Linked DNA regions of Xenopus tropicalis. The protein of the gene in region 7 purifies or fractionates together with the protein of the main gene of each other region. This does not show direct contact. Links are inferred from orthologs where the notes say so. Each region holds a gene or a part of one and is shown on either strand. Other genes may lie near its edges. The genes, in order: rbbp4, baz1a, baz1b, hmgxb4, baz2a, myo1c and smarca5.

Region 1 (3,738 bases), on a different chromosome or scaffold from region 7:
TAAAACAGTAGCTTGTACTTGATCCCAACTCAGATTTAATTAATCCTTACTGGAGTCTCAACAATCCTGTTGGGTTTAATTACTGTTTAAATAATTTTATTAGCAGACTTAAGGTAGGAGATCTGAATTATTCCCTTATCCGGAAAACCCCAAGTCCCCAGAATTCTGGATAACGGGTCCCATACCTGTACTATATTTTTGGGTATCCTGGAATTTCATGTAACAGTATGCTATTCGTTCTTACCAGAAGTTCAGGGGGACCATCTTCTGCATCTTCAGGAGACTGCTCTTCTCCAATTTTACTGTTTAAGAAAAAATGAGTTTGGTGTTGAAGCTACGGGCGAGTGCGAGTGAAGAGTTTACTAACTGAATGCATAGTAATATACAAGTACACAGTATTTCTCTCAAGTCTTACTGGGAAACTGTTATACTTTGGAAATTAGTTTGTTGTGATCAATTGTAAGGATCCATTTTAAATTCAATAAGTTTGAAAGTTTTTCCTTAAACAGGATGTCAGATCATTTCTTTACCTTAAATCCCAAACATTTAGTCTACGGTCAGTTCCACTGGATGCCAGGATGGTCTCATTATGTGGGGACCACTGGACCTGCTCAAAAAAAAAAAAATTATGAAATCTGTTATTTCTAGCTATTCTGCATTTCACAATATACATGTCAGGCTTACAATTTGTGCACATTATCTCAAAATAGTAACCCTTTATGAGAAGACAGCTACAGACTGTATTACGTCAGACCCAAGTCTTATAGGGTCAGATCAAAGTGACAAGTGGGGTTAAAGTCCTTTATACATACTTCCATTTTGCCTTCATTTGCCCTTAAAGCAGACAGTGTAAACCATTTTGTTCCCTAAAAGCTATGATAAAAAAAAAATTCAAGACAATACCTGGAAAATTTCATCTTTGTGAGATTCAAATGAATGCAACTTTAATTTCAGATTGCGTAGGTCCCATAATGCAACAGTCTGAGAGAAAGACGAGGGAAATATAGTGTAACGTTAGAAATCATTTGGTAGGAATAAAAAGGGCCCTTAAAAATCCAGATGCATCATGCAAAACACATTAGGCCAAACAAGAGCAAAATATATACACTTGAATTGCACAGACTACTTGTGATCCTATCTAAAAGTAGCTGTTTAAATCTGTCTACAGCATGAGGCTTAAAAAAGTACTCATACACACTAATTTCCAACAGCTTTCCACATTGCTTTGTAAAGTATGTATTACAACCGACCCTTGCTTTGAAAGCAGGCCACAGCAGGCCATGTGTTATTTTGTACGACAACCCCACAGTAGTTAGAAATACTACAATAAAGCTGGCCTGAATCGTGACCAGTAACGTAATCAAGTACACTTTTTTTTTTTACATTTAAAGTCTGTGCCCAAAAAATGTATTTGCAAGAAATGGAATATTTTAAATGGTTTTCATTCTACAGTTCATTTGGCTTGTGGCACTTGGGGGGCAGATTCTTAACCTCGGGAATAAGTGCAGGCCGAGAACCTGCCCCCTACACTCTAAATATATGGAAGCGGCTGTTCGAGCATGCAGTTTCGGGTTAAAATATTACGCAAAATATGGTACGAAACTGCATACGCAGTTGCTCTGAATTCCACTTTCATCTGCAGGCTTGGTATCCATCCCACGTGGCACTAGTCTATAAGAACCACATTCTTCCTGCTCAAGAAAAAAACCCACTGTATTCTACACAGCTATACAAACTTGCACCTTTTAACTTAAATGTCCTTTGAATGCATCCTAAAAACTAAATTTCTTTGGTACAAGGGACACGTGATACAGGATTCAGAACTTTACTAATACACAAAAAAAGTCAGTCAACATATGGTAAAATGTAATGTTTACCTTGTCAGCTGACCCAGTTGCCAATATGAACTCGCTGTAAGGGTTAAATGACAGACAGTTGACTTCAGCTGTGTGAGCATCCACAGAGTGGCTGGGCTTTGATGTGTTGTTTGATCGGGTGTCCCAGCTGTTAACAAAAATAGGACTATCACTCCAGTCTTAAGAAAGGCAATACAATAAGTTCCCTCTGAAGAGGCAATAAGCTTTAGCTGACGAAAGTTACTTTATAGTTTTGGTTACTGCTGGCTGGCTTGGGAGCTAAGGTGGAGGTAAAATGAAGGTATACATATGGTAATAGGCAAAGTTCCAGCCAAAATGACACTGGTGGGGGTTTGGGAGCAAAACTAAACTTCGTGCCTCTGCTTGTTTGGCACTTCAGCTAAAGCCAGAAAACAGCAAAATGGAAGTACACTTTTTCATAATTTTGAATTACATTTTTAATTTGTCAATAACTACAAACAAACAACAACAAACTACTAAACAAGTTTAAAAGTGCCTTTACAGCACTGAAATTCACCAGTACTGCACAGTCAGAAAGTTCCCAGTGAGTGCTTCATTTAATAATGATGCAAAATAATTACACAGAAGTAATATAAGCTTAACATACCATACTTATTTAAGGGTTTCCTCTTGACCCTTTATCACACTAAGGGGCCCATTCACGAAACCACAAATTTTTTTTTCCATATTTTTAGCTTTTAATATTAACTCCACTGGCTATTCTTTAATTTTGGTTCTCATCCACAATTATGAATAGACTTCTTCCTTCTCCACAGCATTAAATCTGCATAAAAAATGTCAATGATCTATTGCCTTTATTCATTTATTTATGCAGTGGCAGACTTCTACCTAATTTGAACGTGTGCGTAGAAAAAAATTTTTCCAAAATAATTCCAATAGAGAACTTAAAAATAACCCATGTGTACTATTTAACAACCAGAAACTGAGGTTTCATGAATGGGCCCCTAAGTGTTGATTTTTAGGACAAAAAAAATCCACCCAGTATGTGCAATGACAAGCAGATGCCGTTTCTATCACTGAATCAAGCCATTCCATTTTTCTCCACCAGCATAAAAAAAAAAACTTTACATTTACATTAATGTTATTCAGGAATTTGTCCAGTAAGTACATAAAGGATTCATAAATTAAATCCAGTTACTCTAAATGCAATTCAACTGCTTTAAAAGAGAACTAAACCCTAAAAATGAATATGGCTAAAAATGCCATATTTTATATACTGAACTTACTGCACCAGCCTAAAGTATCAGCATCTCAATAGCAACAATGATCCACAACTTCAAACTTGTCAGAGGAGCTCCCCATCTTGGAAAGGGTCTGCGACACCCACATGCTCTTTGTGATCTGGGCAGCTGAACTTAGGGGTTGTTGCAAATTATCAAGCAAAATATAAGGTCGTCATATAAGTGGATACCACAGGGCTGATTATTACATTCTGATACTAATTGCACTGGTTTTAAAGCTGCCATGTAGTAATTATTTGTATTAATTACTAATACATTATATATATTTATCAATTAATTATAATGCAGCATATATATTCTATATCCATGTATTGTGAATTGGTCCCTAAGCTCAGGTAAGTGCAGGGAATCAGCAGAAAAGAATATAGGGAAGATACTGAGGGCACAGATTTTCCCTGTTAAAGCGGACCTGTCACCCTAAGAAATAACTCCAAATTATTTTCTATATTGTTAGTTGAGCAAATTAAACTTTACTTACTCTATATAAATAATATAAATCTTGTTTCCTTCCGTCTTGGAATTACTCAATCAAAGCAAGCAGGCAGGCACCATTTTGTGGGCACTGTTATTAAGGCAAGCTTTGTATCACCCCAAAATCT
Region 2 (4,433 bases), on a different chromosome or scaffold from region 7:
TGCTTATGTTACTATTACACAACTAGTACCTCATCTGCGCTAAAACAGATTTCACCTTTTATTATGTTTTGCTATGCATACAAACACTCACAATAGACTTTTATATTTAGTTTGTTCCACTTAAAGAATGTGGGTTAGTTTTGGTAGATTCGCTCATTACTATTTACTTACTATGAAAATTTTATGAATAGGTAATAACTTACCGAATGTCATTCCATCAGGAAACTCATCCTTAAGGTCAAACAGGTCTCCAAAAGCATGTAGAAACTCTAGCACCATGATGGCATCTCCAAAACTTTCAGGAGGGAGCCTTGTTTTCACTGGAGTGGGTTCAGGAAGCTCCTGAGATACAATACGTTTTTGGGGATTTAATATTAGATACATTTTTTTCAGAACAGGTTCAGAAACAGAGTCCATTTGGTGAAACTAGAAGTTGAGAATACTGCCTTGTGCTTTTGCCATCTGATATATATAAATGTACATATTAAGAGTTAATGTAGTGTGACACCTGCATAATATACAATTTGTATTTTTTCCTAAAATCAAAATTTCAGACCACCTTAAGGCTGTGTCTCCATGGCAAAAGCCCCTCCACCATTACTTAGTGCATAGCTAAAATTCTATATAAAAACATTTGTCACCGATACCTTAAGATCATCACACTCCATATCATCCCGAGGTCTGCTCCACTGTTTGAGACGTTCTGCATATTTCTTCTTTTCCTCACGAAGTTTCTCCCTTTCCTATTTAAGTATGATTCAGAAGTAATCATTACAGTTGAGCAAAACAGTGTTAAAAGTTAGGGGTAAAAAAAAAAAAAAAAAAAAAAATAGATTTTTCTCAATAAGTGAGACCATTTAAGAAAACAAAACAAAAAAAAACCCTTAAAGGAGAACTAAACATGAATATGGCTAGAAATGCCATATTTTATATTATAAAATGACAACCCTGGCTTAAATTTTCAGCATCTCTATAGTAGTAGTGATATAGGTCGTTACAATTGTCACAGGAGCTCCCCATCTTGGATTCCACACTGCAGCAGTTTCTAGGCAACCATTTGAACTAATCACTATTCAGAATGTATATTTTAAAAAGCATGTTATTTTAGGAGGATCAGATGAGAAGAGTGGGCAGATAACATTTTATGATGCTATTTTTTATATTTTTTTTGTTTTCATTGAAGACCATTGTCTTTGTTTTAACCATGCCTTAGGTAAATGTCACAAGCAGCATTTCTCAAGTGCCTGTAACCACCTCCCAGTGACTTCATTTGGAGTCACTCAAAAAGAGCAGGCTTTCTTGTCCACCAAAAAAAAAAAACTGACCAGGTTCCTTTTAAAGTCTAGTGTTAGTGTTGCTGACCCTGGGATAAGCTAAGATTCCTATATAACTCACAGCATACTCCAGTCAAGAACTAAAGCATGCTAAGAGTCATAGTCAGAACTGTAGGACAAGCTGAATTAAGTTGCTAGTTTTAGTATGTAGATCATTAAAGAGTGCATTACCTTCTCTTTTTCCAGTTTCATCCTCTCTTTCTCTTCTTTCTTCTTTAACCTTTCCACCTCTACTATTTTTTTCAGCTCTTCCTTTTGCCTTTCCTTAATATGTTTCTCTTGTATGCGGGACCTTGCATCCACTGCACGTTCTCTTCTCATCCTTGCCTTTTCCATTTCTAATAAAACGTTCACAGAGAGCAAGGAAGCTGTTTCAGCAGATATTCAGATAGGCAATCACTATTTAATTGATTAAAATGGAGTCTATGTGAGATTGGGAGCTTTCTGGATAAAGGGTTTCAGGATAACGGATCCCATATCAGTAGTATTGTTGTATTTACAGAGCATTAACTGATTCCACTGCATAATACCTTAGGTTTATGTCAGACAAAGTAATTTCTCCACCAAAAAGGCAGAGAAAAGGCTGATGTCACCCACAGCTGCCCCATATGTAAATAGAAAAGAATGAATGAAACCTACCAGTGCACATTGGGCAGATCTCCATTAGAAAATGGACAGCCATACACAAATATTTTTTGCTTAAAAATGGAAGTGGGAAGGCAAGGTGTGATCCCCAACCAGTGGCTCAGGGGCAACATGTAGCTCACCAACCCCTTAGATGTTGCTCCCAGTGGCCTCAAAGCACGTGCTTATTTTTGAATTCCAGACTTGGTGGCACATTTTAGTTGCATAAAAGCCTGGTGTACTGCCAAACAAAGCCTCGTTCCTCTAGGCTGCCAGTCTATATAGGGGGGCTACCACACAGCCAATAACATCCTTAATTTGCAACTTCCTGGAACTTTTTAATGCTTGTATGGCTCCCCAACTATTTTTACATTTGAATGTGACTTATGGGTAAAAAAAAAAAAGGTTGGGGACCCCTGCTGTAAAAGCATTATTTGATTTGACACATAGCAAAATCATCAAAAAGTCATTAGGGGGCGTATTTATCATGCTGTGTAAACAAACAGTCAGTAAGCTGCACACCATTAATATTAGATGCTACCTGGGTGCCAGTGCAATGTTGTAATATGCAGATAGGAGAGAAGTGACGGCACTCAGAGGGATTTTCACACAGGAAATATCAGGTGAAATAAAAAGTGAGGTTTTATTCAGTCCAACATTTCAGTTCCCAATTGGAACTTTCGTCAGGCAGTGTGTAAGAAACGGTGAGAAAATTCACCACACATCACCAGGCTTTGCTGTGTAAAAAACGGTGTAATTTTTTCACGCATTTTTTCTTCCGCCGGAACTTATGTAAAATAACGACGTAAAATCTGGTGTTTGGAAGGCGATCTTCTCCATTTTACACAGCTTTTTACACCGTTATTTTAGGGAATTCGTTTTACACAGCATAATAAATATGCCCCTTGGTTTAGGGAAATCACAGACAGGTGAGAAAGCTATGGTGTTCAGTGTGACAGTCACAGCATTAAGAATTGTTACCAACAATTGTGTTTGTGTTAAACTTTGTGTTGAAACAAACAGATGCACAGCCAGAATTTAAAATGTGGTAGTTAGCAGGGATTTCCTTACCCATAGCTTTCAGTTGCTTTTTCTGTTGCAAGATTCTCTCTCGTTCTTTTGCAGCTTGGATCTGTTTCTGTTTGTTTGCTAATCCATTGCCCTTTTAACATTAATACAGAAAAGATAGTACTGATGTACACAAAAATCGTGTACAGTTATAACACTTTGGTAGTTATTTTATACCAAAATATATCATTTTCACTAGTTCTTTTCTATTCATCTCATTCCACTCTCTGAAAAGGGGGAACCCGCAGGATTTACCTAGCCGAGTGTGCGAAAGGGATTGAAAACCTGGATATGCATGTAAAATAAGATATTTTTAATGTAGGGCTCTTGTTTTATTGAAAGTGAAAGAAGAGTTTGTATTTTATACACAAAGTACCATCAATAACTAGGTCCCAGGGTGATGGCACATGATAGTTCAGCTTTGCTTAAAAATTAATAAGTCCATCAAGATACGCACACGGTGCTCCTACTCAACTATTTAGACCCCCTCTTCAATACGAACAAAATTTGTTTAAAATTAAGGGGAAAAAATATTAACAATCCAGCTTACCCGATTTAAGTGCTTGTTTGGAAGAGGTCTTCCACTTATTTTTTTATTTGGGGGTGAGCGCTGAAAATCCGGTGGCTCCTCAGGAAAATAATTGAGAAAATTTCTCACAGAAACTTGGTATTTTGTGACTGAACTTGGCTGCACAGAAAAGAAATGGAAAATAGTTTCAAAAATTGCAAAGATCCCTTTACCCATGGCCTTGTTTATCTGCAGATATGCATCTATTTATACTATATTCCTGACAAGATCAATTCAAAATTTACCTAGTGGTTTATGTGACAAAAAGTCACATGATTTTAAGGATTCAGATTTGGTTCACCCAGAGGCATGGATTCATCTGAATCCTGCTGAAAAAAGGATGAATCTTGGCCGAATCCCAAACCAAATTCTGGATTCTCTGCATCTCTAAAACACAGGCAAGCAAATGCACTTTCACCAGCAAAAAAAAAAACAAAACAATTCAGTACTATATGATTTTTTTTTCTAAAAACAGATTTGGTCCCTAAGATTTATTTATTGTCTGATTCAGAGCCATCTGACAATTTTATTAAAATAAAAAATGAAAACTTAAAAAACATTCTACCTTAGTCTTTATTATTCCTTCATGTGCTTCACAGTGCAACTTCAGAAAAAGTTTCAATCTGTCTTGGGAAAATAGCGATGGTTTTCGACTAGAAATAAATGAAAGCCGGTGTTTATTGTAATTGTGAGCAAGAAGACACAACCTAATTTCATCAAAAAAAATGTATACGGGTTTTTTTTTTTTTTTTTTTAATTGCCATTGTTGGCAACTGGAGTTTTCCATCTGAATTCTGTCAATACTGTCTTCTTCAGAACTCAAATTTCAGGAGAGATTA
Region 3 (4,433 bases), on a different chromosome or scaffold from region 7:
CCGCATCAGACCCCCATATCTTTGTCTTCCTGCTCCTTATGCTACTTTTGCATACACCTCTGGTACCAAGAGAGGGAACCTGGAGCAAAGGAGGAGAGCAGCTTTCTAGTCCAACTCACACCCAACCCGAACCTGCAATGGTCATCCACATTTGAAACCAAACCCCCCAACCACAGGTTTCAGTTAAACCCACACATCACTAAAATATTTACTATTAAACAAAAACAAACATTAGAAGAATTATTTTACCATTTCCTCGACATCAGCTTCATTGTCTTCCACATATCGTTGTCGTGAGACACGAGATTGATTACTGTTTTTTGGTGGACGCCCACGTCGCGCAGGCCGGCCCGGTTTAGCTTTTGCAGCTTTGCGGGACCTCACTACAAAAAGGGAAAAACATGAAGGTACCTATATAAAAGCACGAGGGGCACTGCAGACATTTGAAATACCAAGTGTTTCAAAGACGCCTTTAGAAAAAACTAAATTATTAGGACAATTTGATAAAAGTGTGATAATGCACTTATTATGCAATACTTTTTTTCAGTTTAACAGTGCTTTTGAGATTTAGTTTCCCCTGTTCTTTCAATGAGAATCAAAATAAATCCATTGAGAAGCTTTTGTGTAATGAGCTGCTGTAGCTGGGAGAAAGGAGGGATTTCTTCATACAGAGGAAGGGGTGGGGGGAGATATACTGCCCCCTCTAGCAGCCAACACAACATTTTATTTAACCAGAAGATATCCACTCCTTGACACTATATTCCACAGGTGTTTTTTTTCCTGTCTGGTTACTGTGCTATTTCCTACTGTGTTTCCCATAGCTACTTTATAAAATAAAAAACCTCATTAAAAAAAAAAAAAAAAGTAAAAACTAGACAGATCATTTACATGCCCTAAGCTTTCTCTTGCCACAGCCTCCATTTTAATCAAATAATTACATATTTAAAAATGATTTTCTTTTCCTCTGTAATAAGACATTACCTTGTACTTGATCCCAAGCTATAATTAATCCTTATTGGAGTCAAAACAATCCTATTGGGATTCCCATCATACACATGCACATGTGTGAGTTGTGACACCTATTATGTGCATGTGTGTGCTTGAACATGGCTGTGCACACTGTGAACTAACTCCCAGTGCAGGTAGTTTAGTGCTGGCAAGGGGCAGATTTAGAGGAAAAAAAAAATTGTTTCCCACTACCGGAGTACAGGCTCTAATAGCTTACACCACCTCTGGTGAGGGAAACCATTTTTTTGTGATAGATGGCCTTTAAACTGCACAATCCTCTCTAGGATAGCAGCAGTAATATTGGATTTATACCTCATCCCTGTAATAGGGATATTGGATACATTTGTCTATAAATACAGTAAGACCAAAAATATTTAAAGGCTGTCTGAGTTTTATACTGATTATTTATGGTAAAATAAACTGCTCATAAATATAGCATAGTAGTTTCTATTTAGCTTCCATGCGAATATTGCTTTGTATTAAAAAGCACAAGACCACATTAGATCTGATCCACACAGACAACTGGAAGGAAGACATTTGTTCCCCATCTCAGCCCCCTCCCCACTGACATTGCTGAGCTACAGCTGCTGCTGGTGAGAGATGAGTATAGTACTAACAAAAAAAGGAGGCCACACAGTGGGAGCATGCAGTTGCCAACTTAATCAGTGAAAAATTAACTTACTAAAGGAAGGGGGCAAACATGTGTTGTGTTACTACAGCAAGGGCTAAAACAGAGCTTGTACGCTTGCCGCCTTGCTGTGAGCACATACTCTAGAGAGGCGGCTGTTGCCTGCACAGAAATGCTGATCCTGTTCTATCCCTGGGCTTTCATCTTTATGTCCAACACTTGCACACAAACATCTCTTCAAAAGGCAACAGCATGTTGAGTAGGCAGTGTCTGTGTGCACAAGCCAACAATTCTCATTCTTCTGAGTACCATAATGCTGCAAAGCTCTATCCCTGAATTTAACCCCTTCAAACATTCTATGTTGGAAAACGCAGCACAAAATAAATCACTTTGTTCTCCATTTGATTATGGCATGTTCAACTGTAGCTTTCCTTGTTTCCTTATTGCTGATATTCCACCTTCACTAAAAACTAATAGTAAATAACATGGTTGAAATACAGAACAATGTTTATTTATAAATAACTGGGGTGAGGGGGTTGACAAAAGTGGTGATAGAGACAAAAAAAAATATCTTCACTTTTTTTCAGATTTTGTCTTTTAGTAATATTAGCAACAATTTTTAGGAATTTGTCTTTAGCTCTTATTAAATCTGTTGGTGTGTTATCACAAAATACAAAGTTTAGAATTGTTCTGACAGTTACACTGAGCTTTTTCCCCCCCAAAATCTCCAGACTGTTATTACTTAATGTTTTATAGGACCTGCAATCCAGAATGCATGGGACTTTGGGTTTTCTGGATATGAGATCTTTCTGTAATTTGGATCACCATGCTTTAAAGCTACTTAGAAATCATTTAAACGTTAAACCCAACCATTATGGATTCATGCAGCTTAGTTGGGATCAAGTACAAGGTGTTAGAGAAAAAAGGAAATCATTTTTAAAAATGTGAATTATTTGATAATTTGCCAATGATGTAAGTGCTTTAAGCACCATCACAGCAATTTTTACTTTTACATACATACTATACCTAGAAGCTTTTCTGAAAGCATTCATTTTACTTACATCTCTGTCCCATCATTTCTTGCTCCTCCTCCTCCGATTCCACCTCTTCCTCCTCCTCTGATTCTTCCTCCTCCTCCTCTTCATCTTGAGTGGAGTCTTCAGCATAATTTCTGTTACACAGAAAATTCATTATAAACACATGCTTGGCGTGTAAACCAGAAAATAGGCTTACACTCAACAGCATCTATATAAAATGTAGGAAACATTCAGAGCTGCTTGCGCTCTATCAGAGCAGGGTGTCAAGTATAATACTTTCAATAAAGGCACAAATTCACCAACATTCTCGCTCCTGCTTGGTCTTCCAGATTTTAAATTAACTACCATTTCTTGATGACTTTATAAGCATTACTAAGCATAAGTAAGCATCAGTTAGCTTCATTTTTAGATCATCACTCAGTTGCTTAGAAAAGACTATGGTTAAGGACCAGCCCAGCTTAGGATGTCAGACTTCAGAAGTAATAGTGACGTGTTTTACGTTTAACAGAAATGTGTTACTATCACTTTAATAAGCTCTCTGGGGCGAAACTTGCTGCTAGACACTGCCCTATTTCCTCCCAGCAAATCTGCCTTACCAAGCCTTCAGCAGCTACTTTCCCCAATGCTTTAAATGTTGATGTCGGGCAGCCCAGTTCATATGGAACAAACATTAGTGAGTATCACAAGCATTATATTATTAATGTAAGGTGCTGCATCAGAAAAGTTGAAGCTTCCACCTCCATTTACATCATTGCCCAAAAATTTGCTCAGTTATATTTATGTATGCAAACTGTAGATTTGATGTATACACCCATCCTTTTAACAGCATGCAGAATACACTGGTGCTTTATAAATACTTGTTAATATAACCGCAGATCACAATTTTTAGTAGGCGCACACTCAATATAAGGGCAGTGACACACGGGGAGATTAGTTGTGCTGCAACAAATCTCCGTTGTTGTGGACGACTTATCTCCCCGCGATGCCATCCCACTGGCTAGAATGTAAATCGTGGGAGGGATGGCATACGCAGCGCTGCGATTTCCCCAAGTCGCCTGAAGTTGTCCGAAGTTTCCTCTGAAGACAACTTCAGGCAACTTGGGGAAATCGCAGCGCTGTGTATGCCATCCCACCGGCGATTTACATTCTAGCCAGTGGGATGGCACTGCAGGGAGATTAGTCACCCAAGACAACAGAGTTTTTTTGCGGAGCGACTATTCTCCACGTCTGCCACTGCCCTAATGGGGCTAATGCCTGGTTGAACAAATAAGTCACAAAGAAAAAAAGGTTGGCATAACACAGGACTTAGCAAAGCAAGACTTAATTATTATAAGTGAATAAGGATCAAGGTTTCCACCCCATTTATGAGACTTCGCCAGGGCTGTTGTGCCAAACTTATCAGCCACAAAGCACAATGCATCGAACACTATAAAATCAGTACATGAAATTATTGCAAGCGTAGGAAAATATTTGTTTATACATTACTGACCTGCCCCGAGAACTTCGTCTAGCAGTTGCAGGCTGACATGCAGGGCACAGCCATTCTCCATCAGGTATGTTAAATAATACTGGTCGCAGACAGAAGAGATGGAATGCTTTATTACATTCATCACACAGAATTAGCTTGTCATCTTCACCTGGGCAGACAAAAAAAAAAAAAATATATATATATATATATAAATAGTAAATATGATGCACGAAAATTATAAACATTCCTAGTAGCACAATTTTTACCAAACTACCCTAAATGGAGATTAAAC
Region 4 (4,433 bases), on a different chromosome or scaffold from region 7:
CCTGATTCGGCATCATCCACTGGTGGGGAGCTGGAAGCTGGGGAACTGATCATTGATGATTCTTTCCATGAAATGAAAAAAAAGAAGAAATCAAAGAAAAGCAAAAAGAAAAAAGACAAACACAAGGATGAAAAACACAGAAAACATAGCAAAAGTAAAAGAGAGCATGAGGGGGAGCAAAGACCAACGCAAATTGCCTCTCCTGTGCTGCCCTCACCACCTCCTCCCACTGCTACAACACCAACTTCACCACCATCTGTACCTCCACAAGCACTCATTACTCACGCAGAAGAACAGTTGGATAAGAAGAAGAAAAAAGAGGACCCAGAGAAGGTTAGAGCAAATAGCCACAGTCATTCCAAATAACACTTAATTAACAATTAATGGATTGTTTAAAATGCTGTATATATGAGCAGCAGAGTGACCATTTGTTAGTAATAGTACAAAGAGCATACCATCATGGGGATATTTGAGAATGTGTTTCTCTTTTGAGACTGAGGTAAAGCAAGTTTTGTAGTGTACTTACTTATCCAGCTTGAGTGGAATACATTTATAGCCCTGCCATGCCTTTGAAAAATCTTTTATCAGCTCTACTCCTGTCTGTCAGGACAGTGACATATGGTGGGAGCCTGATCTTTCTTTATCTCCCCTGGCACACAAAAAAAGCTCAGGGTATTTTGATAATCATAAAATTAGTTACTGTTAACAGAGAGCTGAGGTCTATTGGGCACCCATACAGGAGAGAAAAATCAACATTTTCAGAACAAGCTGGAATTTAAAGATGAGCTGTTACTAGGGCTATTTTAGGATAAGAAAATAGTGGATTTGATATAAAACTTCATTATCACTTACTGATGTATGCTTATCCACCACCAGCCCAAAAAGAAGAATATGTCTGCTTACCAGGTCTTCTCCAAAGAATATCGAGGTAGCATCATTGCAGAGCACCCAGGAATTGGTAAGTAATAAAGGCATATGTTTTTATATGAGAATTGGTATATATGTTTTGTGCTCAGTGTGTAAAAATATATAAATAAATTATAAAACAAAATTACACTCGGTCTTTTTTAAGATTCCCTGTGCCCTCTCAGCAGTAGCTTGTAGGGTAGCAGATAGTAGACAGTCTTTGCTACCAGGAAATTTTGCCTGTTTATGAATACGATTCTTCAATCACTAAGAGGCAACTGTTTGTCCAAGAAAACTGTCCTTTCCCCCAAACAACTCACTGTTAGAAACAGGTACGTATTTGTTAACAATAACAAATAGGTACCTGCGTTGTGAAAGTATATATAAATATAACACTTTTTTTTAGAAATGTCAAAAAGGGTATATTGTAAATTATGAATAAATTCTTCTTGGTATATTTGTTTTTTTACTTGCTATTTTACTCACTTTTCTTCCTGTTAACAGACTTTGGGGAGTTAAGTAAGAAACTTGCTGAGGTGTGGAAGCAGCTTCCGGAAAAAGATAAACTTGTGAGTTCCCTTTCTGAATGATTATATTACGTTTTATATAGAATTTTAAAATAATTTAAGTGCTTTGTACAGGCACTTACAGTTAATCAGGATTTTAAAAAAGTAAAATCCTGATTAACTGTAAGTTACCCATTGTTCAGTTCAATTCACAAAGAAATTTGAGTAGTAGAGTTAAGAAGTAGTACTTTTACAATGCTCAGCAGAACATTTTAGTGTTTTTAGTGTTACATGGCTTTAGAGTGTCTTTACGGGGGGTTTAGCCATGACGGAAAAAATAACCTGAGATTATTGTCCACTACTCCTTAACCCAAAGGGGCCCCCTTTTTGAGTTTTATCCTAACAAAGTGACTCCATAAAATATTAAAGTTTAATTTTTTTTACTTCTGTTTTCTTTCTAATGTAAAACAATGCAAAACTAATTTTAGGTGTGTGTAAGTTTGAGTGTATTTTTTTTTTTTTACAAACTGTAGGCTTGGAAACAAAAGGCTCAGTATCTCCAGCACAAACAGAACAAAGCTGAGGCCACTACTGTGAAACGGAAATCCAGCTCCTCTGAGTCTGCTGCAAGGAGCAAAGGTATTGTCCAGTGGCAGTCAGAATTAATAATGTACATAACAATTTTTACTGTGCCATGTTTCCTGCAAAGCTGCTGTTGTTAAAATACCAAACCCTTTATTCAGAAACTGGTTTACCAGCTAGGCACAGATCTGTGACTGCTTAGTCCACTTGGTGAGAATGAAGAGGGCAGCACAGTTCCATTGTACATTTGCCCATTTTGTGAAGAAATCTTCACAAAAACGTCATAGTGCTCTGATGTAAGTCTTCTACATGAAGACACCTCCAGCACACACAGGGCTACAAGAGCATGCAATGTAGCCTCTTATTGTGGAAAGGAAAGGCAAGATCACTCTAATGACTTCTTAGTGTTTAATTAAAATACTTTTAACATACTGTTGGTGTTGGGATTTTTGATTAAGAGGTAGTTTGCCTACTATTGCACTCAAGTACCAAGATTAATGATAGGCTGTTTCTGATAGCAATTAAGCAAATATACATTTCCATTTATATAATGATGGAACTGTTTGTCTTAAGTCTGTCATCCTTATGTATTCTATTTTTTCAGGCTCATCTTCCGGTCTCCCCTCCCCAAACAAGAAGTCACCAACCAGTGTTGTTTCCTTCTCCACCTCTCCAGCCAAGGTCCCTGACACAGAGCCAATTGATGTAGCTGCACATTTGCAGCTGCTAGGGGAGTCTCTAAGCCTAATCGGACACCGCCTCCAGGAGACAGAAGTTAGCATTTAATTTATTTGGTTTTTAGTAGTGGTAGTCCGCTTATGGATGCTAAAATGTGTAGAATTATTAGAGGTAGAGAGCTACAGGTTGTATAATACTTATTTCTTGCACCCTTAAAGCATGATTGACTAAATGTTGCAACAGTGCTGTTTCTGAGGCTGCTTTCACCTCAGGGAACATCCCCAGCAAAGTTCCCCCTTATTTCTTTTTGGCAGTGTGCACAAAACATTTGGGTGACTTTGAGCATAAATTTATAAAGCAGGCAATAAACGTACTGATTTCAGCAAATGTATTTGTGATGGTGTTTGTTTGTTTACAAACATATGAACACTTGTACAGTAGTTGGCTCATGTGCAATCAGTCAGATACTAAAGATTTGATAGTTGGAAAAAAAAAATCATTTTTATTTAAGGTAAAATAATAATAAGGTAAAATAATCTTTTCTTTGACTTATTATAAATCATCCTGCCTAACCATCTTTCCTTACTTATATTTCAAAGGGAATGGTTGCTGTCTCTGGCAGTCTGTCTGTGCTACTGGATTCTATCCTGTGTGCCCTGGGCCCATTGGTATGTCTTACAAGTCATGTGCCACAGCTCAATGCTTGCCCCAAGCAAATACTGGTGAGTATGAAACTGAGTGGAAATGTAAAATATTTATAATGGATTTGTTAATCTGGAAACACACACGCATTACAAATGCCTGCCTGTTGTAATTCTGTTGCATCATTTAAAAGTAAATCTCCATGATGTAAAGTACTGCAGAAAGTGTGCACAGAGAGAGAGTACATTTCTTCTAAGGACACTTGATTGTGCATTAGCTAAGGGTGTGCTAAGTATTTTTTGACATTACAGTGATGAAATTGGGAGCCAAGGGACTGCATTCCAAAGGCCTCAGAGTTTGCCATAAAGTAAATAATGATTAGGGTAAATATCACTCCACCAAACACACAACACTAGATGAAGATGTAAGTCAGCATACAAGTATAGTATGGACAAAGGACTGTATGGAACTGTCATCACAAATGAACCACTTAATTTTCTAATTCTTTTCTTCCAGTCTGCACTGACAGTCTGGGCCTATGAGAAAAAAAAGTTTCCAGTTAGTTCAAAATCTCCTTTTTATCCTCACACAGGCATTAATAGTGTTCTGTTATTTTCTGCCAGATTGATCCTAATGTCACATAAAGCCTTTTCTCTGCCAGTAGCTAAAACACCAGTACTGCTCTGAAGTGGAAGCAGCCATTCGGTGTTGGACTGGCCCACCAGGATACCAGGAAAACTCCCGGTGGGCCCAGGTGTCATTGGGCCCTCCTGCTCCTGACCCATCTGGTTTATGGTCATTCCCTATTTCTGAATGGAAAGAAAGAGGAGAAATAAATGGAAAATAGATGCTAGCATGTAAATTAGGAGACTAGGAGAATGAAGAGTTTGGGTGAGAAAAGAAGGAAAAATAGTTTGGAAAGCAGAGCCTAGGGTCTAAAGTTTTCTGGTGGGCCCCTGGGGTCCCAGTCCGACACTGCAGCCATTGACTTAAATAGCAACTGTCTGATACTGTTAAAGTTAAATCCACCGGCAGAAACAGTGGAGGTAGCAACACTGTGCTATTAGCTGTAGAGCTATGCTACATGGGGTGTTTTGTTCACTGCTGCTATCTGGCCAA
Region 5 (4,433 bases), on a different chromosome or scaffold from region 7:
TTATAATAGCTGGAATCTGTCTGAAAGCAAAACCACTGCTTTGTGGGGTCAAATAAGGCGATTTAACTGTGTTTACACTTCCTTATGCAAGTGCAGTAACCATAACATTTTCAGTTTATGTAATTTGTTTTCCAGAGTTTTTTAAGCACTAATACAATATTTTTGATGAGTGTCCCTCTACCCTCTTGTGAAAAGTGTAATATTTGATGTCTGTTCCGTTTGTGGTTGTGGATGGTGCTTTCACCAGTAACATTGCTGTACATGGGTATTGTTCCTAGAGAACACACTGAGATTGGCTTAGTGTGGCATTTCATGTATATCTTGTGTATAAAGACTTGTTTCTATCTTTTGTAGGCTTTAGACATGGAGACACAAAATCATCTTTCTTGCACTGGACAAACACCTCTCACTAATGCCTCAGGACTAAAACTACTGCCTCAATCGGTGGAACCAGTTTACACAAACAGTACACTTACAAGCTTTTCCCAACATGGAAAGGGTGAGTAGCGGCCACTGTATTTGGCTGTACTTCTGCATCAGTAAAATTTAACTGTCACCAACATCAACCATTTGCGTAAGACTTGTGCTCACACCTGAGAATGAAGGCATAGTAGGTCTAATTTATGAATTCCCCCTGCTGCACCTCCAGCTTGTGGCACTGCTCACCTGTTTAGCCTGGGAGAGCAGCCAGCAGGAAGTGGATTGGTTGGCGGATGCTAGCAAGGATTTTGTAGCATGTTACAGTACAGTGGCATGAAAGGCTATTTTTAAAGGCACATTCCTTTTTATTTGTGTTTAGAATTTTAATAATAAGTTTTAATTATTTCTCTTATTTGTTTTATTTTCAGTGCTGAAGTATGACATGCCAGTCAATGGCCTAATCTCTCCCTCCTTGTCTAACAATGCTCATGGGACATTATTATCAAACGATCATATTACCCATAATTCTGTATCCAATAACTACGACTACCTCTGGAAAAAGCCCAAGTCCTCGGTGCATAAGGACTCTCGTGTACCTAGTCAGTTCTTAATAAATGGCTCAAGCTGTACAATAACTAATGGACCTTCCATTAAAAGAAGTCCACAGGAAACACTGGGAAACTGTACTTCAAACCAAACAGCTTCCTGCAACCTAAGCAGCAACAACTTGTGCAGTCCTAATGAAGCTGATATTAAGGTGGTAACTGCAGCTAATGGGACACATTATGGCTTCTGTGAAGCATCCCTTCCTGATTCTGTGTCGGCTTCCAGCATGCAGTCTGTTTCTGCTGATAACCAGGTCAAGGAGGGAACAGAACAGGAAAGTGAGGCAGGCACCTCTGAGAAGTATAATCGCACGCCCGAACTGGCAGAGGCATTGGAGCCATCTGATGCACAGACAGGTATGGATTTGTAGCCTGTAGGGTTGGTATATATTTTAACTATTTTGTCATTTTTTTGAGTGCAGAATGTATTTATATATTTACAGTATGGATTTGTCCCACCTTGTATACCAAATGCATATTTGTAGCACTTGTCAGATTGGTTTGATAGGAAATAGTCATGCTGATAATTAGTATAAAAAAGGAACATTCTTAAAAATATTATACAGTGAAACCTCAATTTTACAATCTCTAATTTTGTATTCCCTCATTTTATACCTTTTTGCGGTCCCACCAATATATAATACACACAAAGCATTTCCTTGATTTCACATTTTCCCTGATTTTAAAGGAACGGTAATACCAAAAAATGAGTGTTTTAAAGTAATTCAAATATAATATTCTGTTGCCCCGCACTGGTAAAAGTTGCGTGTTTACTACAGAAACGCCACTATAGTTTATATAAATAAGCTGCTGTGCAGCCATGGGGGCAGCCATTCAAGCTGAAAAAAGGAGAAAAGGCACAGGTTACATAGCAGATAACAGATAAATCACCATTGAATTCTACAGAGGTTATTTGCTATGTAACCTGTGCTTTTTTTTGAATGGCTGCCCCCATTGCTACACAGCAGTTTTGGTTATATAAACTATATAGTGTTTCTGTGGCAAACACCCCAGTTAGACCAGTAAAGAGCAACAATACATTATATTGTAATTACTTTTATTTTTTGGTGTTACTGTTACTTTAATCCATTTCTGGTCCCCTAAAAAATGTAAAATAGGGTTTCTACTGTGTTGGTGCTTAAAGCAACTATATATTGTTAAATGTTCATTGTGTACACCTTTCTCTGCTTTGCATAAAGAAATCTATTACCTTTTAAATGACTCCTTGCTATAAAATAACTCCATGGTTTAAAATAATAATAGAGCATGGGCTTTGTCACCCTTTTCATTGTGACCTGAACACTAAATGGTCACAATTTAAGTAGCTACTAAACAGGACACTACTACAGCAATTAAATATTAAGGAATATTAACATATATTGTACAACAAATGAATCACATTTAATAAGAGATGTTAAGGAACTCTGTGTTGGCTGTGGAATTAATGTACCAGGGATGGTTACAGAAGTTGGATTATTTCCAGTATTTGTCAAATGGGGGCAATTTAATAATAAAGGGACTATAATTCCACTAGAGGAGATCTTGATCTGCTAGTTTTGTTCTCCTTCATATGATAGTGCTGTCTTGGTTCTAAACACTGTCCAGTTATCTGCTGATCCTTTGTTTAACCATTTGCAGCTTAATATTTAGGGTTTTGGGATGTAGCTTTATGTCTTAAAGTTTTAATTCTATTTTTTGCTGTATTCTATCCCTTTTTTTAATTTTATTTCAATGGATAGATCTTAACAACATTTGTGAATACAAGGAAACAGACCTAGACCCTGTTATTCAGTCAGCACCCAACCCACTCCTTCCTCCTGATGTTAGCAATCTGGATGACCCATCCCAGCTTCCATCCCAGCTTGGGAAATCCCATCTTCTTAATGAAGATTCTCTGGAGCCCTTTGGAACAGATCTAATTCAAGGTAATGATAGTTGACAGGATTTGGTTTTATGTAGACATATTTGGGACTATATTTCCATCTAGTAAAATCACATGCTAAAATATCCTGCAGAAGTTTTTAATTACCTTTTAGGATTACATAATTGATCTTATACTCTAGTTTCCCCGAGGATGTGAGCTGTAGTTAACCTTACCATAAGGAAGCCAGGTGACAAAGTTATGGACAGACGTGGAATATGGTTGGGCACTGCAGTTTGTTTACTGGTAATGCTCAGTAATGTGTGCATGAGAAGCTAAAAGAAAGCCCTGTGGTTGTAGGATAGCAGTTAATGACGGTGGTAATGTTGTATTAGTGCTACATAGTTTGCAACTTATCAGTTGTTGCTCATGTTTTCATGTTTACTACTGACAGATCCAATAAGCAGCACCATGTATGATCTAGAAGAAATGGAAGTAGGTGGCATGCAACAAAAGGATCCACCGTTGGACGCCTCAAGCTTGGAATGCCCATCATACACCCTTTCTGCCTCCTTTCCGCTTATGGCTGAAGACACTCATAACTCTTCTGTCCTTTTTAATGCAGCATCTGCTTCCCCAGTTCTTGGAGATTCTGTAATGCAAGGTATATTTACATGTATAAAATTGCTTATGTTGGAACATATATTTTATTTTTTTAATGCATTTCTGGTATAGGGGTTTTAAAGGTTTGCACATGGAGTATTGATCATTTCTGTGCAAGGTTTGTCCTCCTACAAATGGGTGACAAAGTAGGAATACACTGCAGTGATTTTGTTTCTCCATCTCAGTACAAAGTGCTTTCACAGTGCAACTAAAACTTTTAAATACAAATATGTGTTTGAATGCACAGGACTCTTTTGCAAGGTCCTGTGTAGAAAGGCCCTTTTAATAGTAAAGGTATAGTCTTCTGTATATACTGACATCCTCCCTGTTGTGTTGACGTGTAAATTGTGACTGAGACTCTGTAGAGAGAATTTGCAGAGAGCTATGGCATGACCATTTTTGCCTACTGGTGCTCTAGTATTACATGGCCAGATTTGCCCGCACCTGGAAAATGGATGCCTGAAATCAGCAATAGGTGTATAAATTGCATAGGGCTGCTGTTCCTAGGAACGTAACCAGACAGCCATAATCACAAATTTAGAGGTGCACTGGACACTATTCTTTGCTATTCCTACATATGCAGATTCTACTAATTGCAGTCTTTGGAAGAGCTTTGTATTTGGCTTTAGTATTCATAAATGTGTTTAAAAAGGCATGCCTTAATTAACCTTTTAAAATGTCACCTACCACTTTTTGTCACTTTGTGTTTAAAGGGAAACTGTACCTTTATTTTCTAAAAAGTTCCCTTGTTTGTTTAAAGAGTTTTTAACGTATATGTTTTCCATTTGCTTTATTTGCGTAACTTTTGACTAAGCCTGAATCCCAGCTTGTAGTTCCAGCCTTGTTCAACAGGCGTTTTCACCTCCTAGCTGCATGTGATTTAA
Region 6 (4,433 bases), on a different chromosome or scaffold from region 7:
CTAAATAGCCAGGTCTGATTAAACAGGGAAATGCTCAGCCTGGTAATCCTTCCTGCAGTTTCTGGCATGCCTTAGAAAATTTCTGGACCAGTTCTGCCCTCAATGCAGATTCCAGCAAGCTACTGCTGGGGCAAGAATCTGGGCCAGGGAAGCCTGTCTGCATTTTCTACAAAACTACCACTAGGGGTAGAACCAAAAAATATAAAAAAAATAAGCTAGGTTGACAAAACAGCAACAGTTAAGATAGAAAAAGCATAAGAAAAAACAGAAAACAAAAGAGACTGGCAAGAGAGAATGGAGTAGACAAACAGAAAAACAAAAAGGAAAACAAATTAAATGTCATAACACTTGTGATACTCAGTCATATGTAAGTGCTTATGTTGCTACAATGGAACACAATTATGCACAACCTCACAAACTGTTATTTTGGCACACTAACAGTGCTTTCTCACATTTTTACAGTATAATCAGTAAATCATAGCACTTTGTACCTTGTATGCAAGTGACTTGTTAATTTTACTGACGAGCCAAGAGAAGGTGCGTCCATATATTGCCTTTGCTAAGGCATCCCGTGCATATGCAGCTTGCTCAAGATTTAACGGGCTGTTCAGCTACAAGTGGGAGATAAAAAAAAAATATTTTATCCCAATTGCATTTAAATCATACATAGAGGAATTTCACAATTAAATAAACTCTTAGGGGCCGATTCACTTAAGGTCGATAAAACGAGTGCTATTTATAGCATGTGTTAAAAATATTATCACTTTTTTTTTTTTTTTTAGAGTTAACGATCGATTCACTAAAAGAACACTTGTCTGAATTAAGAAGTGGTGTTCTTAGCATTATTTATCAGGCAATGAGCGTTTTAAAGCGATATTTTAACGCATGCACGATAATTTTCACCGCGTGTGATATTTTTTGCCGGACTTGATTTTAGCGCATGCTATTACGCACGTAGCAGTTACTTTCTGAAAACTACTGTTCTGAAGATTACCATTTCCCTGAAAACACAAGCATGCATCACTCTAGGACAGGGGTGGGCAAATTTTTTAGCTCAGGGGCCACATTAATTAACATACGGGCCGGGCCGGAACAGCGTTACGCCCCGCTGCTTCCTCCGTCCCATCCTTCTGTTCCCCGGCTCCCCAGTGCATTCTTTTATATGGTTGCGCCCCGTGCGTGCTGACGCTGTGCGCACGCACGGGGCGCAACCAATCAGAGCCCGTCATTCTTTTAAGGGGGCCGTAGTTTGCCCACCCCTGCTCTAGGAAGAACACATACCAAAAATCTGACTGCAAACTCCATCTTGTCACCACAGACAATCACCAGCTGCAATTTTGTTTAGTAACGCCTACTCCTGGGAGGCGTTATATTTCACAGTAATTATCGCCCCTTTTTACGCATTGAACGCTTCATATGTGTTTGTGAATCACGCGTTAGTATTATTTCTATGCGAAAATTACCGCAATGCGTTTAACGCATGCGGTTGAATGAGTTATAATGCATGTGAAATAACGTTGATGAATTGGTACTTATTTATTGCATACTTTTTAACGCAAAAAAAAGTATGCAATAAGCATTATCGACTTTTAGTGAATCGGCCCCTTAAAAACTAATTTACAACGCACTACCATTTAGTGTGCAAAAAACCCCCCAAAAAACTGCAATTGGCCATTTTCTGCACTTTGCACACTGTGTGAGGCATCATGCTCATGTGCATCCTTTTTCAGAGCACAAAGACCAGCAGCATGCCCAATTGATCAAGCACTGACTGTTAGTCAGGACTTGACCTAAAAAAAGACGGGAAGGGGGGGGGCATGTATACATCTCTCCTACTGCCCCCTGTCCTCTTCATCATTCAGAGGAGCAAGATATAGCGGGCACAAGTACCCTGTAAACAAACACCAAAAGGGTGCGCCTCTGCACTTGTGCCCATGGGGGAGTAAAATACCCAATTACCCTTCTATACATGGGCGTATTTTATGCCCAGTTGATCTTAATTTTTTTTTTTATACTATTCCATCTCATTCAGCAACTGAATACAAAGCTGGTCAGGCCAGTGACCTGGGGAAACCAATAAACAGATTTTAATTTCATCATTCTTAATTTTATTATTGTTCATAATTGCATTCAGACCCTCTGCTGCCCATATAAGATGTCAAGACATGGGGAATCAATTTGTGCCATAAGTTTTATATTCAATTAAGAATTAAATGTCAATTATGATTTAAAATGAATAGGTATCCAAGGAACACTTACTTCTTCTCCTTTTGCAATGATCTTCTTGTGTATAAGAGATTCACGCAAGGCAGCAGCATCAACAGCCAAAAGCTGTAAGAGGCAATTAAAAATGCAAGTAAAAACATTCATTGGGTTAAAAAAAGTTGTTCAAAAAGTGGTTGCTACGTCAACTCGCTGCAATTAAACAAAAAGAAAATGTAATACATAAGGTCTGCTTCCTTGTTTTATAAATACATTGTACTTCTGAATTTCTGTATTTATTTGCAATAGAAACATTCATGGTTTTGATTATTCTGACTAGGAACAGAGAGAGAAAAAAAAAAAATGATACCAACGTTATGCACTTTGGTAGAAATGAGAAGGATCTGAGGTTTTTTTTTAGATTACAAGTCTAATTTCAGGCAATGTCATTCGGTGGCTACTAAAGTAAGTAAAGTGCTGTCTTGCATAAAAAGGGCATTAACTCAAGGAATGAAAAAATCATTTTGCCTTTTTTTTTTTTTTAAAGATTTTATTTTGCATATTTTATATTTACAAACAATTGAACAACAGAAAAAACAGAGTAGAGAAGGAAAGGAAAAGAGAAAAAAGGGGGGTGAGTCTAAGGTACCAGTTCTGGCTGCGCAAGGCTAATGATCCTCCATATGCACCAAATTTATAGGTCCAGCCACGTGCCCCATACGGCATTACATTTCTCCGGGCACCCTCTTGCTAGATAAGTCAGTTTCTGACTGGGAAGGGAATCATCCACCATTTCCGCCAAAATTGGAGAGGAGGAGGATCTAGGGACTTCCAGTGCATTAGAATGGATATCTTAGCGTAGTAAAGCAGCTGCAAATAGCACAGTCTAGAGTAGGAGTGGAGGTGCAGGTCACCGGTTAGTCCTAGCAGACAGAGTTCCGGGGAGTGTATGTTTGGGAAGGCAAGGTTCTCATTAAGGAACTGTAGAACCTCGCCCCAGAATCTCTGTATCACTGGGCAGGACCAGAAAACATGAAACAGAGTACCAACATCACTTCTGCACTTGGGACACAGACACATTTTCATACATTTTGGCCAGGCGGTGGGGGGTTAGGTACACTCTGTTTAAAAATTTTATCTGAATATATCTGTCCCTCATACAGATTGATATTTCTGTCACTTGCAGAAGGGCATCCGACCACATTTCGTCGTCGAGCACCGGGAATTATTTTGCCTCTTTATAGGTCCCAGGTAAGGCTTCACCTAGAGTTATGCAGTGCAGTTTTGGGCTCCAGTCCTTAAGAAGGATATAAATGAGCTGGAGAGAGTGCAGAGACTGCAACTAAACTGATAAAGGGAATGGGAGATTTAAACTATGATATTAGACTGTTAAGGCTGAGGTTGTTCTCTCTGAGAAAAAAAAGACACTTGCAAGAGGACACGATTACTCTGTACAAGTACATTGGAGGGGATTATAGACAGATAGGGGTGTTCTTTTTTTTTTTCCCATAAAAAGGATCAGCGATCCAGATGCCACCCCTTTAGATTAGAGGAACTGAACTTTCATTTGAATCAGCATAGGTGCTTTTTCATGGTGAGGGCAGTGAGGCTGGGGAATGTCCTTCCTAGTGATGGATGATTTCTTGAACAGGCATAATGTTCAAAGCTATTGGGATACTAAAAGCTACAATTAGTACTGATGTTGGTATATATAGTTTATGCACAGTATGCAAGTGTATAGACAGGTCAGGATAGGTTATGTGTGCTGGAGTTCACTTGGAAGGGTTGAACTTGATGGACTTTTTTTTTTCAACTTAACTATAACTACTGGATAAAAATATTTGAGAATTACCTTGAAAAAAAAATGTAAGTTACTTACCGTATATACTAGAGTATAAGCCGAGTTTTTCAGCACTAAAAATGTGCTGAAAAAGGAACCCTCGGCTTATACTCGAGCATATACGCGCATATATGGTAAATGGATTCGCAGCTGCTCGTTCCCGCCAGATAGCGCTCGGACTCGGCGTTGTATTGCCTACACAGGAGAAGGACCCATTCGCGGACTTTATTGAGGTTGTCCCGCAACTCTAAGGACCGGCCAAGCAGCGCGAAACTACCAGACCGTGGTGTTGTGGTGTCTTGTTGCTGTCGGGTGTGCTGCTTATTGTAATCTGCCGAGAGCGCTCTGTTCCTCTAACCCTTGTCATGCGGCAGCTGGCGAGGCGATTACA
Region 7 (3,600 bases):
AAACTGCATTTTTAATATGGACAGGATGAAAGTTTGATTAGCGTTGATAAGGTAGATGGTGTATGTAGGGTTTGAGACCAAAAAGCTTGTTGTTTTTAGCCTGTACAGTTCTGTTGCCTGTAGACGTACATTCAAGCATGTTCAGATTCTGGAAGAGTTATGTATGTTTTCCTCTCATGACTTTCAGGGTTTCACAAACTGGAATAAGAGAGATTTCAACCAGTTTATTAAGGCTAATGAGAAATGGGGTCGTGATGATATTGAAAATATTGCGCGGGAAGTGGAAGGCAAGACACCAGAGGAAGTCATTGAGTATTCAGGTAATCCTTTCATTGTAGACACAAATGTTTTTAATTGCTAAATAAACTAGTACAGTATTGTGGATATTCACTGGAAGACCTTCCTAAGCTTAATATGCATTTAGCTTCTGCTTTCACATACTTTTTATTTATTTATTCTCAGGCTCCTGGGCAAGTATTTGCTATGAGACCTATAAAGTCATATTGCTACCTATAACTCTGTACTCAGAAGCCTGTAGTTTCTTTTTATTGTTCCAAGTAACAATTTAATTTTTTTCATTTAGCGGTCTTCTGGGAAAGGTGCAATGAGCTTCAAGATATCGAGAAGATAATGGCTCAAATAGAAAGGGGAGAAGCGAGGATACAGAGGAGGATTAGCATAAAGAAAGCTCTAGACACAAAGGTACCATTGGTATTTGCACACAGTTTAGACTGACGCTTTATTTTTTGCTTAAATTGCTGTGCACATTAAACCCTGCCAGTAGATCCACACACACACACACTAAGGTACAGAGTTATTTACATGCAGGCCTGCTATTAGAAACTCGTGTGGCTTTGAAGAAGAAAATCTGTACCGATTTTATGAAAACAAATTCTATGCAGTTTTAGTCCCCCTTCACTTTACTTGCTCTCACTGCTGCAGATAAATCTTTAGATGGCAGCTGACTGCTCTATGTGGAAATCATCAGCACTGCCCGATTTCAACCTGGTCCTACATCTGGTAAAATCTCAGCTGTTGGATTTTGCTGAATTGGGAGTGGGTTTGAGGTCCACCTTAGAACTTTCAGGATACTGGATAAAGGTCCAGTATCTGTATGCTGTTTCGCTGGGACCCTTTGCCCCTTGGTGGCTGCCCTTTATACAGGACTAACCATGACCCTCTTGCTTCCTAAATGTATTTGTAAAATTAGAATGGAACTCCTTATTGCAAATTTTACGCTACACAATTACGTTTAGACTAATGTCACTTAATTTTTTTAGATTGGAAGATACAAAGCACCTTTCCACCAACTGAGGATTTCGTATGGTACAAACAAAGGAAAAAACTACACTGAGGAAGAGGATCGTTTTCTCATTTGCATGTTACACAAGCTAGGTTTTGATAAGGAAAATGTGTATGATGAACTGCGGCAGTGTATACGGAACTCTCCCCAGTTCAGATTTGACTGGTTCTTAAAATCAAGAACAGCAATGGTGAGTCTTAGCTTTCGATTTCTTCAGGAAATACAATAAATTTGGATTTAATCTGTTTTTTTGGTTTTTTTTTTATTTTAAAATGTTACTTCCACTATATTTTTTCTCATTGAGAAAAAATTAGTACTGAATAGAATTAGTACTGTCAGTGCATCAGCTTACAAAGCTTGACATGTGGCATCAACCAGTACGGTTTGGGTGTTAATATCCTGGTTCTGTGACCTGTAGGAGGTGAATATTTGCCTGCCCTGCAGCTGGTTGCAGCCCCGGCAAAATCCCATCTGGATGTATAGCTGGCAGTGACAATATTGTTTCTGCAATTAGACATGTATGCTGTTGGCCTGTATATTTGATATAGGGTATTCTCCTGCAGCTAATGGTGTCCTTTAAAAATGCAGTTTACAATGTGCATTGGGATTTCATTTGTATGTTTTGTGGTTTCTTAGTTCTCCGCATATATCTGGTTGCTACGGGACTGAAAGATGAATAGGAGAGAAAAAAATATTCTGACTTTCACTCTATGCACTTAAACCACTGGAAAGGTGCAGAGTAGGTTTAGCTATCACACACCTATAAAATTGGCAGGTACATTAACTTAAAATGTAATAGAAGTATAATGGGCTTGATAAATGCAATTTGTTTAATAGGAGCTTCAGCGAAGATGCAATACCTTAATCACTTTAATTGAAAGAGAGAACCTTGAACTCGAGGAAAAGGAAAAAGCTGAGAAGAAGAAACGTGGACCAAGGCCTTCATCGGTAAGTGTGTTTAATTCTAAAGTTGCTGCTGGCCAATATTTTTTCATAGATAGCTCTGTCCCTACATTTAATTGCAGTGAAATCCAACATTTGGCTCAAAGCTCACTCACAGATTATTAAGACATGTTTAGTATATCTGCAGACTGAGGAGAGTTCAATGATTTTAACTATGGTCTTAATGTTGCAGGCTCAAAAACGAAAGGTGGATGGAACACCTGATGGCAGAGGAAGAAAGAAGAAACTGAAGCTCTGAGACAAATTTGTAAAATCAATAAATTTCTGAAGTAGTTTTTTACGGGTCTTCATAAGATGTACTGTACGCTTATCTACTATTATGTCATTCAAAGACATTGGGTTCACCTGTTTACTGAAATAGGAACATAGTACTTATTGTAGTTACCCTTTTTAAATACAACAGCTGTGCTGGGTTTTTTTTAGCCATTAACAGTTGAAGTAAAAAATAGGCTTCATTAATTAATGTGCTTTTCTTAATGTTTTTCCCCCCTCCTTCCCTGTCCTTGGACAGCTTTTGAAACTCATTGTGTATATTTTTGTAAAGTATTATTTTTGTATCTTTGGATTATTATCAACATGCACACTGTTCAGAAGAATACAACATTCTTGTCTAGTAAATTCCTAAATGTTTGCTTCAAATTCTTTCATATGTAAATATAGTACAAATGCATCTAGAATGACAGTGGGGATGTAGACATAAAGTGTGTGTGTGTGTATATGGTATCTATCTGGACACCTGCCTTATAAGCATCTAGTTCTAAGACCAAAGGATTAATATTGAAAATATTTTTTATGTTAAATCAGATATCATTGTTCTGGGTGGAATAGATGTTGGAACATTCTGACTCAAGAGTATTTGTCAGTTTGGGTACTAATGCTTGGTTGAGGCCTGCCTCACAGCTAGAGTTTTAATTCATCCCCCAGGAGTTCAGTTGAGTTGAAGTCCAGGCACCATGCAGACCAAGCAAGTTCCTGAATTCCCATCTCAGCTAATTCATTCTGTACAGACCTCACTGTACATGAGGGAATTGTATACAGTGTACCTTACTCTACAATATCATTCTTGCCATTGTCATACTCTGCCTGCCCTACGCTGCCTGTGTGCGCCATACTCTGCCTGCCCTATGCTGCCTGTGTGCCATACTCTGCTTGCCGTATGCTGCCTGTAGGAGGGGGTTATGAAATTTGTGGTTCTTAGGGGGTTCCAGGCTGTTTAATTATGTGTTGGGGGTTGCTTTGCAATACAAACGAGGAGGCAGCATATGGATTTAAGGGTATATTTTTAAAAGGAGAACTAAAGCCTAATTAAAGAAGTTGGGCTAAAATGCTTTGTG

Evidence for each region.
Region 1: the proteins of smarca5 (region 7) and rbbp4 fractionate together in Homo sapiens (co-fractionation; 6 studies listed by BioGRID and IntAct, with this or other methods). This does not show direct contact. The link is inferred for Xenopus tropicalis from reciprocal best matches to the Homo sapiens genes SMARCA5 and RBBP4.
Region 2: the proteins of smarca5 (region 7) and baz1a purify together in Homo sapiens (affinity purification with western blotting; 8 studies listed by BioGRID and IntAct, with this or other methods). This does not show direct contact. The link is inferred for Xenopus tropicalis from reciprocal best matches to the Homo sapiens genes SMARCA5 and BAZ1A.
Region 3: the proteins of smarca5 (region 7) and baz1b purify together in Homo sapiens (affinity purification with western blotting; 11 studies listed by BioGRID and IntAct, with this or other methods). This does not show direct contact. The link is inferred for Xenopus tropicalis from reciprocal best matches to the Homo sapiens genes SMARCA5 and BAZ1B.
Region 4: the proteins of smarca5 (region 7) and hmgxb4 purify together in Homo sapiens (affinity purification with mass spectrometry; 3 studies listed by BioGRID and IntAct, with this or other methods). This does not show direct contact. The link is inferred for Xenopus tropicalis from reciprocal best matches to the Homo sapiens genes SMARCA5 and HMGXB4.
Region 5: the proteins of smarca5 (region 7) and baz2a purify together in Homo sapiens (affinity purification with western blotting; 3 studies listed by BioGRID and IntAct, with this or other methods). This does not show direct contact. The link is inferred for Xenopus tropicalis from reciprocal best matches to the Homo sapiens genes SMARCA5 and BAZ2A.
Region 6: the proteins of smarca5 (region 7) and myo1c purify together in Homo sapiens (affinity purification with western blotting; 3 studies listed by BioGRID, with this or other methods). This does not show direct contact. The link is inferred for Xenopus tropicalis from reciprocal best matches to the Homo sapiens genes SMARCA5 and MYO1C.

The regions. Positions count from the first base shown.
Region 1 is NC_030678.2:90,301,496-90,305,233, forward strand, and holds part of rbbp4 (histone-binding protein RBBP4), read right to left. Parts: intron 2,005-3,738; coding exon 1,878-2,004; intron 982-1,877; coding exon 904-981; intron 611-903; coding exon 531-610; intron 303-530; coding exon 245-302; intron 1-244. UniProt on the Homo sapiens protein: Core histone-binding subunit that may target chromatin assembly factors, chromatin remodeling factors and histone deacetylases to their histone substrates in a manner that is regulated by nucleosomal DNA.
Region 2 is NC_030684.2:109,364,525-109,368,957, forward strand, and holds part of baz1a (bromodomain adjacent to zinc finger domain protein 1A), read right to left. Parts: intron 4,248-4,433; coding exon 4,160-4,247; intron 3,715-4,159; coding exon 3,577-3,714; intron 3,121-3,576; coding exon 3,030-3,120; intron 1,673-3,029; coding exon 1,506-1,672; intron 744-1,505; coding exon 648-743; intron 343-647; coding exon 204-342; intron 1-203. UniProt on the Homo sapiens protein: Regulatory subunit of the ATP-dependent ACF-1 and ACF-5 ISWI chromatin remodeling complexes, which form ordered nucleosome arrays on chromatin and slide edge- and center-positioned histone octamers away from their original location on the DNA template to facilitate access to DNA during DNA-templated processes such as DNA replication, transcription, and repair.
Region 3 is NC_030678.2:41,867,312-41,871,744, forward strand, and holds part of baz1b (tyrosine-protein kinase BAZ1B), read right to left. Parts: intron 4,311-4,433; coding exon 4,163-4,310; intron 2,808-4,162; coding exon 2,698-2,807; intron 384-2,697; coding exon 250-383; intron 1-249. UniProt on the Homo sapiens protein: Atypical tyrosine-protein kinase that plays a central role in chromatin remodeling and acts as a transcription regulator. Involved in DNA damage response by phosphorylating 'Tyr-142' of histone H2AX (H2AXY142ph).
Region 4 is NC_030680.2:122,056,801-122,061,233, reverse strand, and holds part of hmgxb4 (HMG box-containing protein 4), read left to right. Parts: coding exon 1-333; intron 334-876; coding exon 877-958; intron 959-1,410; coding exon 1,411-1,475; intron 1,476-1,945; coding exon 1,946-2,051; intron 2,052-2,598; coding exon 2,599-2,768; intron 2,769-3,271; coding exon 3,272-3,394; intron 3,395-4,433. UniProt on the Homo sapiens protein: Negatively regulates Wnt/beta-catenin signaling during development.
Region 5 is NC_030678.2:138,719,861-138,724,293, reverse strand, and holds part of baz2a (bromodomain adjacent to zinc finger domain protein 2A), read left to right. Parts: intron 1-354; 5' UTR 355-363; coding exon 364-499; intron 500-848; coding exon 849-1,382; intron 1,383-2,764; coding exon 2,765-2,950; intron 2,951-3,340; coding exon 3,341-3,550; intron 3,551-4,433. UniProt on the Homo sapiens protein: Regulatory subunit of the ATP-dependent NoRC-1 and NoRC-5 ISWI chromatin remodeling complexes, which form ordered nucleosome arrays on chromatin and facilitate access to DNA during DNA-templated processes such as DNA replication, transcription, and repair.
Region 6 is NC_030678.2:45,982,426-45,986,858, reverse strand, and holds part of myo1c (unconventional myosin-Ic), read right to left. Parts: intron 2,332-4,433; coding exon 2,260-2,331; intron 612-2,259; coding exon 492-611; intron 1-491.
Region 7 is NC_030677.2:59,221,821-59,225,420, reverse strand, and holds the end of smarca5 (SWI/SNF-related matrix-associated actin-dependent regulator of chromatin subfamily A member 5), read left to right. Parts: intron 1-187; coding exon 188-320; intron 321-583; coding exon 584-702; intron 703-1,280; coding exon 1,281-1,493; intron 1,494-2,140; coding exon 2,141-2,251; intron 2,252-2,438; coding exon 2,439-2,504; 3' UTR 2,505-2,884; downstream 2,885-3,600. UniProt on the Homo sapiens protein: ATPase that possesses intrinsic ATP-dependent nucleosome-remodeling activity.